Oryctolagus cuniculus: one gene and its partner. The protein of the gene in region 2 interacts with the protein of the main gene of each other region in a biochemical or structural test. Links are inferred from orthologs where the notes say so. Each region holds a gene or a part of one and is shown on either strand. Other genes may lie near its edges.

Region 1 (4,676 bases), on a different chromosome or scaffold from region 2:
TGCTGCCCCCATGAGCCAGTCCCTTATCGCCGGTGTACAAGTGTGGTCTCTGGTGCCTCCGGAGGAGCTGAGAGCACATAAAACTTCGTAATCTTCTTTGTGTCTCCTCTCATCTGCATTCAGCTGCGATGCGGCCCCTCTCCCCAGCCATTCAGTTTCTCTGTCAGTACCAGGAAGGGTGTGGTGGGGTCTACGAAAGTCTCCTCCCTAGAGAGGTCTAAATGAACACTGTACATCGAGGCCAAACACACACAATCAGGCAGACACCCAGCGGGAAGAGGAAGAAACTTGAGCAACAGATCCAAAGTGATAGAAATCCTGAGACACGGAGCAGAACAGGTACCCACAGTCCAGGAAGAGAAACGCGGGCACAGAACCCCTCCGGTAGTCCCGGGTCCACCAGGGGAGTCCGCTCGCTGCCCTGGGCGCGCAGTCCAGGGTGTGTCCGGGAGCGGACCGAGGAGCCCCTGGCAGCGCCCGGACGCCCCCCGGTGGCGGCTCCCGAGAAGCCGGGACGGTTCAATCCGGGCCACAAACTTTTTTAGAACAAATCGTTGTGCAAGGCTGGGAGGAGAGAGGAAGTCGGACGTGGGCGAGGGGCGGGGTGTCTGGACTGGAACCTCCGGGCCCACGTGAGTGTCTGTCCCGCCGCGGAGTGGGTGCTGCGTGTCCGGGTGGCTGCAGTGGCACTGTCCGCTGGGTCGGTGCGGTGTGGGGCCGCCCGGCCGCGCGGAGCTTCGCGGGCACACCTGCGCTGCCGGTGTGCTGCACCTGATCCGACCCGAGCCTGGGGGTGTATCTGCGCGGCGCGCGCCTTTGTCTGCTCCGCTGGAGTGTGGCGGGTGTGGGCCTTGCGTGCCTCGGCTGTGTGTCTGACTCCGGGTTTGTCCGTTTGAGTTAGAGGCGACAGGTGGCGCGGCGTTAGACGCCGGGGAACTCGGGCGTCCGTGTTTATTAGCGGGAGGCCCGATCCGCGTCTCTGAGCCCGTCGGCCAGGTGCCCCGGACAGCCATGCAGAGGGTCGGGGAGGGGACAGCCGCTCAGTGCGGGGCTCTACCCGGAGAGGGGCGGCTCCACGGCCTCCGCGAGGCTGCGGTCGCGGACAGAGGCCCCGCGAGGCGAGCTGGCCAGGGGATGGACACGCGGTTTCCTTGACAACTTTTCTCTCGTCGCTGGCCTAGCCTCTAGTATCAAACCTGCAGGACTCGCCAAAGTTCCGTTTTTCATTAAAAAAGTAATAATAAAACAGCCGAGTTCCAGATTATGAATAATATATCTGTTTAATATCTACTCCATATGCCTCCCTCTACGGCGAAATTTGTGAGGCAAGCCTCTGAAAAACGGCCAATCCTGTTAGCTTTTCCTCAAGCGACCCATCTCTACCGGCCCTCAGTGAGATGAGACAATAAATGCAATTGGTGGACAGATTGTTTTGAAACCGCCCTAACGGCAAGGGGCGGGTCCTTCGTGAATTTTTCTCTTTCCGGTTTCTTAAAGGCAACAGGAAGGAGGGGTTTCTACCGACCCTCGTTTTGATTGGTTCTAGTGACTTTACCCGCTCGTACTCCTCAAGGGGCGGGAGATGTAGACAAATCAGAATGTGTGTTGCAAAGACACTTAGCTCGATGAAAGGACTTCGCAGGAAAGGCGGGGGGGGGGGGGCGCTCATTTTGAGAGCCCAAGGTTGATTGGACTAAATCGTTACTCCCCTTTTCTCATTCGACCTTACAGCAGCGGGCGCGCGGGCGCCATCCAATCAGCTGGCGCTCCGCCTTCTGCCTTTTCCCGCCCTCCGCTTGGGCCGCGTCTTCGACGTAGGCCAACGCTTCCTCCCTGGCTGCTCGTAGGCCCTCTCACTGTCGTTATTTTGAAAACTGTGCTCTAACTGGCTGAGTCTCCGGGCCCGCGCCCGTTGCCCCCGCGCGCTGGCCAATTGACACCCGTGTTGCATCGTACGGCGCACTGGGAGGGGGAGGTGGCGGCGGCGGCGGCCATTTTGAGCCGCCGCCGCCATTGGAGTAGCCCCCCCCCCTTTCCCCCTTCGCCTCCTGACAGGAGAGGTTTAAGGGGGACAGAGCCCTGGGAGGCCGGGCCGGGCTCGGGGGCCGCCCCGGGGGCCCGGGCCATGGATGTACGCCGTCTGAAGGTGAACGAACTTCGCGAGGAGCTGCAGCGCCGCGGCCTGGACACTCGCGGCCTTAAGGCCGAGCTTGCTGACCGGCTGCAGGCTGCGCTGGAGGCCGAGGAGCCCGACGACGAGCGGGAGCTCGAGGCCGACGACGAACCGGGGCGACCTGGGCACAACAACGAGGAGGTCGAGACCGAGGGGGGCTCCGAGCTGGAGGGGACCGCGCAGCCACCGCCGCCCGGGCTGCAGCCGCACCCGGAGCCCGGCGGCTACTCGGGGCCGGACGGACATTGTGAGAGTGCGCGGGGCGGGGGCCGGGGAGCCTGGAGTCTGGGCCAAGATAGGGCTGTGGGACGCGGGAGTCCGGCGCCCGAGGTCGGGGACTTGCTGTGAGGATCGGGGGGTCCTGCGATCGGCCGCCGCGAAGGATCTGGGGACCGGGGCCTCGGGACGGCCGGCGGGTGGATTCTGGCATTCGGCGCGGGGGAGAAGCTGGGGGTGGGCGCTGTCGGTGTCGGAAAAGAGGTGGGTCCAGGGAATGGGGAGGGTTCTGGACCTTAGGGCTCGGAGACCGGAAACCGTGGTTTTTGGAACCGAACGGAGTCGGAAGAAAAAGAGGTTTTCTATTTAGGGGCTTGGGGAGAGGCTTGGAAATGGTGATCCTGGGGTTTGCAGCAGGGTGGGCTGGGCGTTAGGAGCCGCGTTTCCAGCTTCGGGACGGAGAGGCCGGGGTCCTGGCCGGAGCGGCTGATAGGGTCCTGAGGTGGGTTGATGAGATGGAGGCACTGGTGTCTGTGCGGTGGACTGGGTGCTCTGGTGTTGGCCGGAGAGCCGTGAGGGGATGTGGGAGACCAGCTTGTTCCACGGGGGGACCCACCTCTCTTCCAGGCTGGGAGGCCAGCCGAGAGGCAGGCGCACCTTGGGCACTGGGTGCTGGGCGATCCGGGGACCTTGTGGTTGACTGCCAGAGGCGGCACCAGGAGCCTTGGTGTCCTGAAGCTCGTGGGGGCAGGAAAGATGCTTCCCTGGACAAAGGACCCGGGAGCCTGGGACTGGGCAAGCTCTCCGGGCCGGAACTCAGTGGCTGTGCTGAATGGTCCTGGTGAACGGGGCAGCCGGGATAGGACGGGCGCAGAGAGCAAGCTGGTAGTGCTTGAATTTGGTGAAGTAACCGAGGGACAGGGGATCCTTGTGTCCAGCACGGGAGTGTGTAGCTGTCTGGGAAGATGGGGGAGGGGGAGTGAGTGAGTAATGGAAGGAGAAGGCAAGCCTGTTGACTTGGTCCCCGGGGGCCTCGGGGTGTTGTTGGGGGGAGAGGTGGGGCTCAGCATCTCCCGGTGAGGGTTCCTTGGTCCCCAGAAGCAGTTACTTGCGTGCCCAGGGAGTATCTGCATCAGCCAATAGGAGTGAGTGTGGGAGTGGAGGGATTAGGGTAGGCCTGCAGCTGTTTGAGGAGCAGAGACCTGGCATGGCAGAGAGTGAGTCTGGAGTTAGCAGAGGGCGACTTTTTTTCAGCACTGGGACTGCAAAGATGGGAGGAAGAGAGGTTAAGGGGGAAGGACTGTGGTGTCCAGGGCTTCTGGGGGGTCTGTGGAAAGGGCACCCTGGGGCTGGGGGGAGAAGGTGAGAGGAGAAATGGGGCCATGGAGGAGACTTGGGGTTGGCACTGGGTCCTCGTTCACGAGAGATGTGGCAGCCTGCGTGTAAATTTGGAGTGGAGAACAGCCCAGTGACTGTCCAGGACCCAGGTGCTGGCAGCGTGCGTGGCGTGGCAGAGACCTGGGAAGGAAGAAGTGGCCCGGCGAGCTTGTCTGTAGAGTGGGAGCCCCCAGTGGGGCAGAGTTCCGGGAGAGCAGGGTGGTTGGATGCCTCGGCACGCAGCCTCTAGACTGTTTCAGGTTCGGCTCCGTGACTCGGGCAGGGTGCTTCATCTCCGTGCGTCTGGTTTCCTTGTGTGTAAAATGGGGTTACAGGGTTGTTAAGAATGAAGTCACGCGTGAAGGGCCTCTCCCCAGGTCCGCCTGCTGATGAGGAAAGCGGCGTTTAGGGGATGGAGAGGCACCCCAGCATCTTGGCTCCCTGGGCAGGCTGCTCCGGGCCCAGAGGGATGCTTAGAGAGGCTTGAGGCTCTGGGGCACACACTGCCTAGCGCCTGGAGGAAGCAGCTGGGCTGAGAGGACCTCACATCCCAGGGAAGATGACGTTCCCTCTCTTCCTCTCGCCCTGCCCTCTGCACCAGAGTCCTTTGAGTGCCCTCCACACCCCTGCGACCCTCCCTCAGCCTTGGTAAACAGACCTGTAAGGCACCACGTGACCTGAGACTTTTCTCCCTTTGGGCCGCACCAGGTTTGTGCCCAGATGTGTTTGTCCTCTGAGAAAGCATCCAGTCAGTCAACAAGTGGCAGGATAGGCTCTGCTTCCCCGTGGTTCTGCCTCACTGCTGCTGGCACAGCCGTGAGGAGGACTCGGGAGGCACCCAGCAGAGAGCGGCCCCTGGGGCCGAGAGCCGGTGAGCTGCTCGCTGGTGCTCACTCAGTCTCCAAAGCCC
Region 2 (4,524 bases):
CTAACGTGCCTGGGAAGGTAGCGGAAGATGGCTCAAGTGTCTGGGCCCCTGTACCCACATGCCGCCTACAACATTTCCCATCCAGCTCCCTGCTGGTGTGCCCGGGAAGGCAACAGCAGAGTGCTTGGGTCCCAGCACTCATGTAGGAGACCTGAATGAGGCTCCTGGCTGGCCCAGCTCAGGTGATTGTAGACTTTTGGGGAGTGAACCAGCAGATGGAGGATCTCTCTCGCTTTAACTCTGCCTTTCAAATAAAAAAATAAATCTTTAAAAAAAAAATACGTGGCACATATAAAGAAGGGTACTACACAGTCTGTGAAAAATAAAATTGAAAGATAATTTTGGTGCAACATATTTTGAATCGATTCATAGCTTTTCCATAAACTTAATGAAGACTCCTTGTAACCCACTAGGTAACCATCAGCTGGAGGCAACACTAGTTAAACATAACACATTTCCAGAGAATCCACGCAACCAGAATCCTTCTAAACACAATTCCTCTGACAGCTACTTCAATTCAAGTTGGCCTATAAACCAAAATTTATTTGCCAAAATCGAGTACATAATATCTCCAACTCTAAAAATTGAGTATTAAATTTCGGTAGACTGTCAAAAAACACCTCCAACAAGCCTGAATCACCTGTGTTGACAGTCAATTTCAGTCAAGTTATCTTCTAAATCGCACCTGACATGGTTCTAATTTCTTATATGCTTGTGAGTAATTCACTCTAATACTAGTAACGTAAATAACCTGGCAATGCTATTCAGACTCACTAATGGGTTCCTTTGAGAGAAAAGCAGCCTGTTACACAGACTTGCTTCCCTGCCAAAATCCTCATCCAAAAATACAGGAACAAACCACACTAGTAAAAAGCTGAATCCAATCCCTTACCCATCCCAGCTGTCTCTCCCGCAACATCAGGCTTTGTCACTTCTCACCTAGACTTCTGCAACAGCCACTCTTCCAACCTTTCTCTGGTATCAGAGCAATCTTTCTAAAACGCAGGCGCTCACCTCTCATCCCTGTGTAAGAATCAGCATGTTTCCAGCGACAACAAAATTCAAAATTTCCAGCATTATATTTAGAACATTTCACATAGCTGCTTCTTTTTACCTTTCATTCTTCACATCTCATAAAGCTCTCCTTCCCTATCCCACTCTCTGCCCGCTCCCGGAACCCTTCTTCCAGCCATCACATAGGGTTGAGATGTTCCCTCTCTCTACCCCTCTTCCTCACCTTTGTCATGTAACTGCTCATCACCTAAGATCCAACACAGGTCTAAGGGCAGGTCTAGATTCCTCCTCTGGCCAACCCCTAGTCAGAACTAACCACTTCCTCGTCTCTCAGTCTCAAAAGTTTCTTGAGCTGTCCTTGGTATGTCCACAATACTGTTTACCTCAGTAGTTCCCAGGCCCATTAGAATCACCTGAGGCATGTTCTGAAAACAAACGGAAGCCAACCCAGATCTATTAAATCAATCTCAGACGGAAGAAGCTGGATGTCTACTTTTAAAAAAAACATTACCCTAATGGTCATATTTGGAGACCGCTGGTTTGCCTTTCTCTTGCAATAGGTGTAAAGATGTGTTTTTTAAAAGACTGTAGAAATTATTTACTTTGGACTACAGTGAAGTTCTGTGCACTCTTTTTTTTTTTTTCATTCTCACATTATCACTGCTGCCTTGACCCGCACGCTGAAGATGAAGTCCTTTTGGACTTATACCCACTGTTCTAAAAAGCAGAATTTCCACTTTCATTTTTAAATCCGAAAAATGAAGTCATTGCACCTTGAGTAAACATGTCAATACACCGTGCAGGCTCTCACCAGATCTGCCATGATAACTTTCAGAGAAGCAGCAAGTCCTTCGCCGATTCTGCCGGTGGAAATAACACTGCCTTTACCTATTTCCTTAAAGTCGAATTATATTAGGAACAGATGCAGGGCGATCCACCTAAGTCCGACCACAGGAGGCTGGCTCCAAAAAAAGGCTCAATAATTTTCAAAGAAAAACCCCACTCTTCCTTCCCCACCCCCCATCCAAAGCAAGTATACTACAGCGGTGTTAGAACGGCAGAAAATGTAACAAGACTAGGATACTAATATAACCACAAAACCCGCTGAGTTGTTCTGGGGGAAAGGAGAATTTCGGATACTTCGCAAGTTCACCTCGTTACTTCTCTGACTAACTTTAGGCCCGACGATGACCTCGGGAGCACAAATCCCGTTTCTCCAAAGTCGCGGCCCGAACGGAGTCTCCAAACTTGAGTTCACCGCTTCAAAGTCTCGTCTTCCTCACGTTTCGGCCCTTAGAACACATTCACAGCTACTTTCTTCTCTGCTAAAGAAAAGGGCACTCTTCGGACCAAGGGCAGTGACAGCTCCACGTCTGCACAAGTCGGCGCCGCGGCGGCGGTGGCGGCGGGCGCCGGGGAGGGCGCCCGGCCCGGGACCACCACGCGGGGGGACAATGGAGGGAGGAGGGGAGTGGAGGAGACCAGAGGAGGCAGCCGCCGGGCTGGGCCCTCCTGGAGACCAAAGGCTCGGCAAAGTCCCGGGAGGGCCAGACCAGAGGCAGGTGGGCCTGGCCGCCGCCCCTCACAGGGCCACGTAGCCCGCGGCCGCCCGGCCCCGCGCGTAGGCCGGGCCTCGGGAGAGTGGCCCCCGGGAGCGGCGGAGGGGCGCGGGGATGGACCCTGCCCACGTCCGCCGCGGCCCATCCCGCTCACAACTTGAGAGCCCACGAGACGAGGGGGTCGGGGCAACTCGGCAGGCGCCGGCCCTGCGGTGTGTCTGGCCGATCCGAGCCCTCGCCCGGCCCCGGCCACTGGCCCGTGCTCCCCGCGCCCCCCACGAACACCGGCTAGGAGGGCAGGAGCAGCCGCAGCCGCTGGGGCGGTCCTGGCTCGGGCGCCGCACTCCTCGACCCCTCGTTCTCTCAGGTCATTCTCACCCAGGCTTCCCCCTCCTCCCAGAACCGCCCCCAGTCAGCCCGCGGGTGTTTACCGGGACTCGGGGCGGCGGCGACTCCTCAGTCCCTCGACTAAGATGGCAGCCGGTCCCGAGCCCCGACCACAGCGACTAAAGCGAGTTAGCGGCCAATGCGCAGGCGCCTCCACTCGGGAGCGGCCCGGACTACAAGCCCCAGCAGGCCTTGCGCGCCAGCCAGCTGCCGGGCCGGGAGAGCTGGGGGCTGGTGAGAGCTGCTAAGTGGAGTTCTTCCCAGCCCAGGTGAGGACTCCAGTGGCTCCCAGCTCCGCTTTCTTTTTCCTTTTTTGTTCTTAGCACCCCGCCCACCAGAACCTCTGAAGACTGTAGCTGGAGTTGCCAAACTGCAGTGTGCATAGAATCGCCTGAGGGGCTTTTTAAAACTTACACTGCTGAGCTCCCGCCCCCAGAATTTCAGTAGATTTAGGACAGAGTCTGATCATTTGCATTTCTTTTTTTGTTTTTATTTGAAAGGCAGAGTGACAGCGAGAGGGAGAGACAGAGAGATTCCATCTGCTGGTTTACACCTAAATGGCCGGGCCGAAGCCAGCAGCCTGGAAATCCCTCTGTGTCTCCCACGTGGGTGGCAGAGACCCAAGCACCTGGGTCATCCTCCCCTGCCTCCCGGGATGCTTTGGCAGGAAGCTGGATTGGGAGCGAGCCGGAGGTGGGACTGGATCCCAGGCACTGTTATATGGCATGTCTGTGGGCATCCCAAGTAGTGGCTTAACCCACTGCGCTGCAGAGGTGGCCCCCAGCTTAGTCCCTAAAAACAGACACTGAGTGGACTCAAATCCTCCTCCTCCAGCCTTTAACAGGGAGGCTTGGGGATGATGGGCGTGGTGAGGCGCCCGCGTGGTTGGTGTTCTCTAGGAGTGAGCACCCAGCTCCCTTCCTGCTCACAACACATCAATGAGAGAAGGACCGTTGTCACCTGGCCTCACAGTCACATACCGGATAAGAACCTGGGCAGTCTGCCTTCCCATCCCTCCGCCCAAGTCCTGCACAGTTGTTTGTGAGAAGTAATAGGCCGTGCAAGTAGTGACTCAGGCACAAGGAAGCGCTCCGTAATTAGTGACCTTTGCTATTATTATTTAGCCTGTTTCCTCCTAATGAAAATACTGTTTTACCATCTGGAAAGTCACACTTTTCAAAGTACTTTCAAAACCACTGTGGTTCCGCATTACCCCCTTTGGACAGCTTGTTAAAAACAGATTCCAAGGACCTACCCCACTCAGATTCTCTAGAGCAGGGAGTCTTGCAGTCAGGACTCAACCACCTGCAGGTGGTTCTGTGTTTAAACCACAGATCCCTGGGGGCCCTGTCTGCTTCTGATTCCATAGGTCTGCGGTAGGGCCTGAGAATTTGCATTTTTAATATAATTTTTGGCAGCTTTTTCTCATAACAAAGTTTTTGGAAAATCTTATTTTTTTTTTTCTTTTTGAGAGGCAAAGAGAAAGATGTTCAATCTGCTGGTTCACTCCCCACATGGCTGCCACGGCTGGAGCTGGGCAGATCCAAAGCCAGGAACCAGGAGC

What was found.
Region 1: the proteins of ITCH (region 2) and HNRNPUL1 form a complex in vitro, tested with the Homo sapiens proteins (2 studies listed by BioGRID and IntAct, with this or other methods). The link is inferred for Oryctolagus cuniculus from reciprocal best matches to the Homo sapiens genes ITCH and HNRNPUL1.

Annotation. Positions count from the first base shown.
Region 1 is NC_091449.1:13,345,238-13,349,913, reverse strand, and holds the start of HNRNPUL1 (heterogeneous nuclear ribonucleoprotein U-like protein 1), read left to right. Parts: upstream 1-1,799; 5' UTR 1,800-2,125; coding exon 2,126-2,420; exon of another isoform or gene 2,421-2,653; intron 2,654-2,678; exon of another isoform or gene 2,679-2,891; intron 2,892-4,676.
Region 2 is NC_091442.1:23,708,945-23,713,468, forward strand, and holds the start of ITCH (E3 ubiquitin-protein ligase Itchy homolog), read right to left. Parts: upstream 3,137-4,524; 5' UTR 3,005-3,136; exon of another isoform or gene 2,424-3,004; intron 2,357-2,423; exon of another isoform or gene 2,168-2,356; intron 1-2,167. UniProt on the Homo sapiens protein: Acts as an Acts as an E3 ubiquitin-protein ligase which accepts ubiquitin from an E2 ubiquitin-conjugating enzyme in the form of a thioester and then directly transfers the ubiquitin to targeted substrates.